2 linked regions of the Daphnia pulex genome follow. Each later gene encodes a partner of the first gene's protein in a complex. Links are inferred from orthologs where the notes say so. Each region holds a gene or a part of one and is shown on either strand. Other genes may lie near its edges.

What was found.
Region 2: the proteins of protein catecholamines up-like (region 1) and protein-L-histidine N-pros-methyltransferase-like are in contact, whole or in part, in a crystal structure (PDB 8GZE), measured with the Homo sapiens proteins. The link is inferred for Daphnia pulex from reciprocal best matches to the Homo sapiens genes SLC39A7 and METTL9. Residues at the interface, in NP_001070984.1 of Homo sapiens: Gly65, His66, Thr67, His68, Glu69; in NP_057109.3 of Homo sapiens: Arg114, Thr115, Asn118, Arg123, Gly124, Met126, Met179, Asn210, Asp213, Arg214, Val241, His245, Tyr247, Glu249, Trp255, Tyr295, Leu296, Cys297, Glu298, Asp300, Tyr306, Val307, Leu308.

What each region holds. Positions count from the first base shown.
Region 1 is NC_060017.1:7,407,718-7,411,693, reverse strand, and holds protein catecholamines up-like, read left to right. Parts: upstream 1-1,542; 5' UTR 1,543-1,630; intron 1,631-1,723; 5' UTR 1,724-1,817; coding exon 1,818-2,634; intron 2,635-2,699; coding exon 2,700-2,899; intron 2,900-2,966; coding exon 2,967-3,218; 3' UTR 3,219-3,397; downstream 3,398-3,976. Other genes in the region: importin subunit alpha-1-like, read right to left, coding at 1-437, 495-750, 811-961, 1,016-1,169, 1,238-1,300; B9 domain-containing protein 1-like, read left to right, coding at 3,967-3,976. UniProt on the Homo sapiens protein: Transports Zn(2+) from the endoplasmic reticulum (ER)/Golgi apparatus to the cytosol, playing an essential role in the regulation of cytosolic zinc levels.
Region 2 is NC_060019.1:9,214,787-9,219,176, forward strand, and holds the start of protein-L-histidine N-pros-methyltransferase-like, read right to left. Parts: upstream 2,945-4,390; 5' UTR 2,705-2,944; coding exon 2,387-2,704; intron 462-2,386; coding exon 268-461; intron 1-267. UniProt on the Homo sapiens protein: Protein-histidine N-methyltransferase that specifically catalyzes 1-methylhistidine (pros-methylhistidine) methylation of target proteins.

The sequences.
Region 1 (3,976 bases):
GCTCCCTGATTGGCAAAGTTACCCAGAACCCAGGCAGCATGTTCCACTACAACTGGATGAGGTGAATCTAACAAATGAATCATCCCAGCAACAGCCCCAGCGCTGACAAAAGCTTCGATCTCATCAGATATGTCTTCGCCTGAATAAGCAATGTAGCCGATTACCATCAGCGTGGGGTAAATTACGGTCTCTTCTTTGTGATAGAATAGCTCAACGAGCCGAGGGACGACTCCGGCGTTGATAACTTCTTTCTTTATTTCTTTCGGGCCATCAGTGAGATGAGAGAGAGCCATGCAAGCGGTGGCGAGAATCTCCTCGTCATTTGCGTGGATTAGGTGGTACAGGGCAGGAAGAAGCTGTCGGACGGCAAGGACACTCCCACCCAAATAGCGACACAAGTTGGACAAAGTCGAAGTGACGCTACGCAATAATGTAGCCTAATATTGAAATCGGTTAATAATAAATGTTCACCAAGGTTTCAAAAATAAACTTACTGAAGAGTTAGATTTGACCAAACTGAGCATCGCCTTTATAAATCCTTGCTCGATTAAGTAATCTCTTAACTTTGGTCCGTCTTTCGCAATAATGCCGAGCGCCCGGACAGCTTGCTCGGCCGTAACTGGATGAGGTGAACTCAACATTGACATGAAACCAGCAATAGCCCCAGCACTGACCACAGCTTGGACCTGAAAAGATCTGCATAGCACAATGGTGGTGAGAGTCCTGGCTGACTCTAACTGAAGTTCAGCGCTAAAACAAAAATGTCATGAAGAAATGTTTGAATAAGACCAATTTAAAGACACAACATACTTTTTGACACGACTAAGGAATTCTACTAGCTTGGGAACAACATTAGCATTGATGAGGATACGAATGAGTGCTGGATTGTGTTCCTCAGATAGGAATTTACGTATAGCATTGGTTGCTGTAATCTCCTTGTTTACATCACCACTGTTGATACCTACAGTATAAAGATTCATATGAGAATATATGTTACATAGAAAAAAAACTATACCATTAACTATGTCCTCAATGCTCTTCGCTGCAGCCATGCATTTTAGTACTTCAAGAGGGCTGAGGTCCTCATCGTAGACTTCAAGGATGTATTGGTTGTATCTATTATACAGCATGTGATCTTCCTTCTTGACTTCCTGCAAATTAACATTCATCTCATACATGAAAGATGAACAATTTGTTTAATTTAATAAATGACATTTGACTATCTAAAGCTTATTACCTCATATCCTCTGCAATTATGATTGATGTCCTTCAACAGGGTGGGATTTGCTTCAGTTGTCATTTTGATAGTTGATGTTTTGTCCAATTCTCTTGAATCACGGAAGTGACAAACACATGGGAACAGTTAAACCAACGACTGAGACAATGCTGCTGAGACTGAAAACATGAAAACTGAAAAGTTTTTTAAATACGCCATTTTTACATTTACTGATGTTGATGTTGCCAAATAAAAATATTCAGATGAAATTACAAAGACGTCATCTAGTGTGAGATCAATGAAGACTTGGATGTAGGTGCTAGGTGGCGTCGGTGATGTAAATTTTGACGCCTGTCTAGGTGATCTCTAAGCTTTTTTGCGTGTACTAACAAATTGGCAATTATCAAACAAATTGTAAACAACTAAGAAAAACAAATTATTTAATTATTATATTTTTTTAAAGAATAGGTAAGGGTAATATTTTAAATCATGTTTTTTGTTGTGAAGGTCTGTCACCGCGTCAGAGAGTCTGACTCTGAGCCCGAGTATTACCAGCTGTTTAACACGTCAGACTTGAAGCGCTTTCATTCGGTCTGTCAAAATGCTTGACCGAAGGTTCGTCGTAAAACTCTGCAGTTTTCTGCTCTTGGTAGGAATTTTTTTGACACTTCCACAGTTTTGCCATTCTCACTCTCACGACCATCACGGACATTCACATGATCATCATGGACACTCGCACGATCATGTAGAAGAGCGGCCTTCATTTAAGTATTCCAAGGAAGCGAATATTCCGAAACCTCCTCCACCCCCAGCCAAGAAAATAGAAAAGGAACATCACCATGGGCATTCGCACGAACATCACGGACACTCACATGATCATGATGAACACTTACATGATCATCATCATGACCATCACACAGAAAATGTTGAAGCTCCCAAAAGGACAACTGCTGCCTTATGGACAGAAGCCATTGGTTCCACTCTAATCATTAGTGTAGCACCGTTCATTGTGCTTTTTTTCATTCCCATTGACAGCAGCCCTGAACGACAGCCCTTGTTAAAAGTTTTACTTAGCTTTGCTTCCGGTGGACTTCTTGGTGATGCTTTCCTACATTTGATTCCGCATGCATTGATGGCTCATTCTGAAGATGAGGAACCTCATTCGCATTCTCATGGACATTCTCATGGAGAGGGTCATTCTCATGGGCACGACATGACTGTTGGACTTTGGGTTCTCTGCGGCATTATTGCCTTCCTTGCTGTTGAAAAGTTTGTTAGAATTCTTAAAGGTGGCCAAGGTCACAGCCACAGTCATGCTGAACCCAAGAAGGATAAAACAACTGATGCAAAAGATGCGAAAGACGGAAAAGCCAAAGAAAAGAAGGAAAAGAAAACCAAGGAGGTTGCCAAACCCTCTGGTAAATATTTAGTTTATTTTTTGGTAGTATGTCATTAAATCTGTTGTATTATTCCATTTCTTTAGGAGACATCAAGGTAGCTGGATATTTGAACCTGGCTGCGGATTTTACCCACAACTTCACTGATGGCTTGGCTATTGGTGCGTCATTTTTGGCTGGAAGAAGTACAGGAATCGTAACAACAGTCACAGTTTTGTTGCACGAAGTTCCCCACGAGATCGGGGATTTCGCCATTCTCATTCAGTCAGGCTGTGATCGCAAAAAAGTAATTTCAAACGCTCCGACAATCTCAAAGTAACAGGAATCTTAATTCTCCACTTTCTATTGGACAGGCTATCTTTTTGCAGCTTATTACAGCAGTGGGAGCTCTTACTGGATGTGCAGTTTCTTTATTAGCAGAAGGAATCGGTGCTGCTGCTACTGCCTGGATCCTTCCGTTCACAGCCGGTGGATTCATTTACATTGCCACCGTTTCTGTCATTCCTGAGCTTTTAGAAAACAGCAAATTCTCACAAACTTTAATGGAAATCGCTGCCTTGTTAGCTGGTGTCTATATGATGGTTTTGATAGCCGAATATGAATGAAAAATTGAGATACAAATTGTTTCTATCTAAATCCCATCTGGCAGGGCTAGACGATGGATTTTAACTTTCATTTCTACCACTTCGAACCCATTGTCTAGCCTGCATTATGCCTTGTAATTGTTTTGTCACCCGAGCAAGATACTTAATAAAGGTATAAAATAAATTTCACGATTCTATTATATTTTTTCTTATTTTTAATTTTTAAAATTTAGCTTTTTATTGAACTTTAACTGAGCAAACAACGCTGGGAGGGTAAGATGAGCCTATAAGTCTACTTGGTTACTATTCAATCAAAGGTGGTTTATTCATTGAAATTGCGTTATCAGTGAAAGGCGACAACTGTAAATAAAAACCATATAGGAAATAGAACAATGTTGGCTATTGTGTGTAGTTTGTGCGGTAACTGATACCAGATTGAGCAATTCCCTTTGACTGGGCGCCGAGACGAGTCTACAAAATTTTGACTTTCACTTATTCTCTTTATTATTTTGATGACTTATTCATCATACAAGTTAACTCATTCATTTCATTACTGAATAGAAAGATACAATCGCTAAAATGCAGAAAAATTGAATAATGCCCCCATTTATTTCGCTACGTAGTCATAGGGGCGGCGGCATATATTAGACGTAACCATGGCAACGAGTCAGCCCGACAATCGAAACAAACGAGCCAGCAGTCGGTGTATATTGTTGTGATGTAGAGAATTCTTAACGTTTTTTTCCAGTCAAGCACATCTTAATTTAGAATGACATCGG
Region 2 (4,390 bases), on another chromosome or scaffold:
TCGGCCGAGCGGTCGGCCAATTACGAGCCCAGTGGGGCGTCGCATCCCTCCCCAAACAACAACAACAACAACATCCACCGACGGTACACAAGAAGAAGAAGAAGAAGAAGAAAAAGCTACGGGGGAGAGAGTCCGTTCTTCCATTTGTAGAGAAAAAAAAAAACAAAATTTCCTTTGGGGTTTTCATGACACTCTCTTTGGCCAAAGAGAAACAAAATAAGAAAAAAGATAGAGAAATAGGTAGGTATACAAGTTCTTTTAACGTACCCGTTAATGGATGTTTGGCTGACGAAAGGAGCGAGAAGCGTGCGGGCCACCAGGTGGAAAAGTTGAGTGAAGACGGCGTCCGAGCGCTCCTGGCAACGCTCCAAAAACACCTGCGTCTCGGCGTCGGCCCAGTCCAGCTGGAGGAACAACTCGGCGGCCTCCGGCTCCAACGCTTCCACGTTCACCTTATACCACTGCGAAAAAAAAAACAAAAAACAAAAAAAATAAAAATAAAAACAAGAAACAAAACAACAGTACGTCATTTATCTAATTCTTCTTTTCTCTCTTCGCCTTTTTCCATTCATTCCGGGGCAAAGGAAATCGAGTGAGGGCGATCACGGCCGACGGCGTCATAGTCGGAACAATCAAACTCTATATTATCAGTTCTTATTACGTGTCTGTGCGTGTGTGTGTGTGTGTGTTTTCCTCGTAATAGCCGATAACAAATCAGCGGCTTGATGGCTAGCGCCACCCGCACCATCGGCGGTCATCCGGCCAACTAACATTAAGGCCAATAACCTGCCGAAATAATATAACATGATGAAATAATGAAAAGAAGAAGAAAGAAGAAACCTAAACACACGCACACACACTGTGACACTGCAACGTTTTTGTGTTCGATTGTCAGTCCGCCCCGGCATTATGTAACACGTATGGAATTTTCTATTAGGCTGGCACCGAGGTGTCAATCTATTTGACAGCTAGACGCCCTCCTCCTTTTTCTTGTCCACTGACATTTGCACCGAGTTCAAAAAAAGATGTTGGAATTGAATCACACCAAAAGAGCGAGCCCTGTGAACAAGCCATGTGTCGCCCATTCACCGAGGAAATGTCAAAAACGTCAAAGAGTCCAAAATACTACTTTTTTTTTGTTCCACCCACTCTCGATTGGAGATTGTTTCACGGTAGTCTGCCAAGTCCCGTGAAACTGGGGAGGGAAAATATTATTAAGGTGAGTGATTGAAAAGAAGAGAAGAGGACGAAAACAATGCGTCTAAAAAATGAAATAACATCGTGAGAGGTTTCTAATGGTAAATAAAAGAAGAAAAAATAAACTGTTGCTTCGGTGTTTCGCTATTGTCGGGAGGCCGGAGATGGGGGGGAAGCCTGCGGACAACAGCAACAACGTTGCTCTGATTAAGAGAACAAACGCTACCTAATTACTGCCATTAAAGCCGGCAAGTTCGGGAGTGCCGGGCGACTGTGCACTCAAACAGGAAAGAAGAAGAAGAAGAACAAGTAAATGAAATGAAAAAAGAATAAGAACGTCGTCGCAAGGAGAAAGAAAGGAGGGAATAAGTAACGAGAAAGAAGGGAACAAACAATAAGTCTTGTGTGTGTGTGTGTGCCAGTGAAGAGAGAGAGAGAAGAACAAGTCTTTTCTTTCACGCCAAAGTGAAGCTAATTTACCATTCACGGCAGAATAAATTGAATGCGATGGGAACGAAAAGGGAGAAGAAAAAATAGACGAGATGGCCAAGGACGGAAAAAGAAACAAGGTCCCAGCTTCTTCTTCTTAACTTCCAATTTGAAACCTATAATTCCCTTGAATCCACCCTTTCCTTCGGTACCCGCACGACGGAAGTGTCTCTACAACGAACAAAAGGGGGAGGAGGGATTGAGCTTAGGGTGAGAGAGAAATTGTACGATTTTTAATTGGACTCGAGAGAAGAAATTCGGGAAGGAAAGACGAAGAAAAAAGGAAAAATAGCTTCGATAATAATGAGTTTGTAATTGCTAGGTTGGAAACATGATTAAAGCCGACCGCAAAACTACCCAGTGGGAAGAAGGTGGTGGTGGTGGAACGTCGACGTCGTGAGGTGGGGCGGCAGGGGCGGTGAAAGAAGCACTACGAAGGACGACGACTAAGACTAAGAGGAGTCGCCCTCATTTTCCCGATGTGGTTAACATCCCCGAGAGACCGCCATTCACGGCCATTGTGTTTGCCTAGGCTGTAAGACTAATTTATGATTCATTACTGATACCGCCCCATCACTAGACACAGCAACCAAGTGTTTCTCATCAATGTGAGGGCTGTGAATGACTCGTCACCTTGCAGATGTGGGAGTTACCTGAATGACGATGGGCTGGGATATAAGTGTGTGTGTGTGGGATTTACCTTGGTCCTGTCGAATTTCTTGAACTCTTCGTCCACCAGGATCTTGGAATAGACAGAACGGGTTAGAGCTGACCTGAAGTAAGGCCTGGATGTGGGTGTTGTTGCCGGAAGACACTCTTGGCAGCCAGCAGTATCACAGGAATCAACTGTTCTGGAATGGATCGAAACACTATCCATCCTGCCCGCTGAGCCAGGCATTGTGGCTGTTGCACTGAGGCACAGAAGCAGGCAGCAAAGAAACTGCGTGGTGGGCTTCAGTCGATAATTAACGAGTTCACATGCGTGCCACAACAAGCAGGGCATGGGAAACTTTCTCATCAAAACGGACGATCTAATTGATGCTTGATGTGGAAATATTAAGATGCCGTGCGACTACTTTTTCCGCTTGATTATAGTGTGACTTTCAATGCAACGAGAGTGGGCTGAGCCTAGACAGCATAAATAACAACAGCATATGCTTTTTAACGAAAGCATTCAAAAAATCTCGAGCTCTTGTCGTTCTTTTTCATAAAAATGTGGGCTGCAGCAGACGACGTCAACGTGATCGATGAAAAAGGTGAGGGCTAAACAGCAACTTGGCGGGCGGGCTCGATCGTGATTTATTCTCTGCACTCTGCAGAGAAAAGAAACGAAAATGCTTGCAACGAAATTGCGATGCATCAATTGAACCTCGCGATTTTTTCTCCTGCCATTTTCATTCATAAAAGAAAATGACATTTAATGCACGCGGGAATGATGCGAAACAACTGCCGGCAACAAAATCAGACACGACTCGCCAGCAGACACGCGAAACTAAAGAGACATTCTCCGAATAGTCTTGTGATCCCAAGCGGATCTTCAATATGTTTAACGTCCTGTTGTACCACAAACAAAATGCTGAACCATAAATAACCTCGAGTATAGTATAGTGAGGAGGATACAACACCGTACGATGAGAACAAAAACAAAGTAGACTGTCTACTGCCATTTTTGAATTCCGGTGCATACATAATACATGTGGCCAACGAAAAACGGGGGGGGAAAGATTTTTTTTTTCTCTTCCATGCACATCCGACGTATGCATAGTATATATGTATTACGCACACAAAAATATAAGCCCCTATAAGGTCTAACATTTCCTTCATATATATACCTGTGACCACAAAATCTATTGTGCATCGTTATGACAAGAAGAGGGGAAAGATTTCTTAGCCTTTTTATTATTATTATTATTTTCTACTGTATGTGAGAGTGTAGCAACCCCCATCAGGATTTTGGTGAATGATGGGAGGGTAAGTTTTCTTTTTTTTTTTCTTCTAGAAAAATAGAAATCGGTCGTTTTTGTGAAGCTGCCCCGTTGCATCCCAGTGTCGTTTGTCACACCCTGGGCCACAGTGGAACATGAGAATAAAAACTTTTGGGGGCTAACAAAAAAGAAAAAAAAATGAAACAACTACAAAAATAAGAAGCTGTTGGAATTGGTAGATGGCACGTCCCTAAGCACACAGTCACATCTATACCTGCCAGCTACCCAACGTATTATGGGTCAAAGGTTTCCTGAACTGTGTCTAGCTTGGAGAACCCCCCACATTGGTATTATTCGTTATTTTCTTCCCCCCCCCCCGATCCTCTATACTACACTGGAAGAAAGAAAGAAAGAAAAAGAATAAAGGTGCAGTCGTGCAAGAAGACGGACGGACGATGAAGGAGCTAATGAACGCGACTCTCCATCCATCCGACCGTCTCTCTCTCCCCCCAATGGGTGGAATGCTGTTGGAAAAAGACAGACACACACACACACAGCACACACACAGAAAGACATTGTGAACGGGTTGCTGTTGGAATGAAGAATGGGTCAGGAGAGAAATGATAATAATAATAAAAAAGAAGAGAAAAGTAAAGAAAAGGCAACTCTCGTCGTCGTCGTCAGAAGAAGAAGAAGAAAGAAGAGGAAAAGAGCCCCATAAAAAGATCTGGTGAACCTTGTTAAACGTCAGCGTTTATTAATGACCGATTGGAATCAGC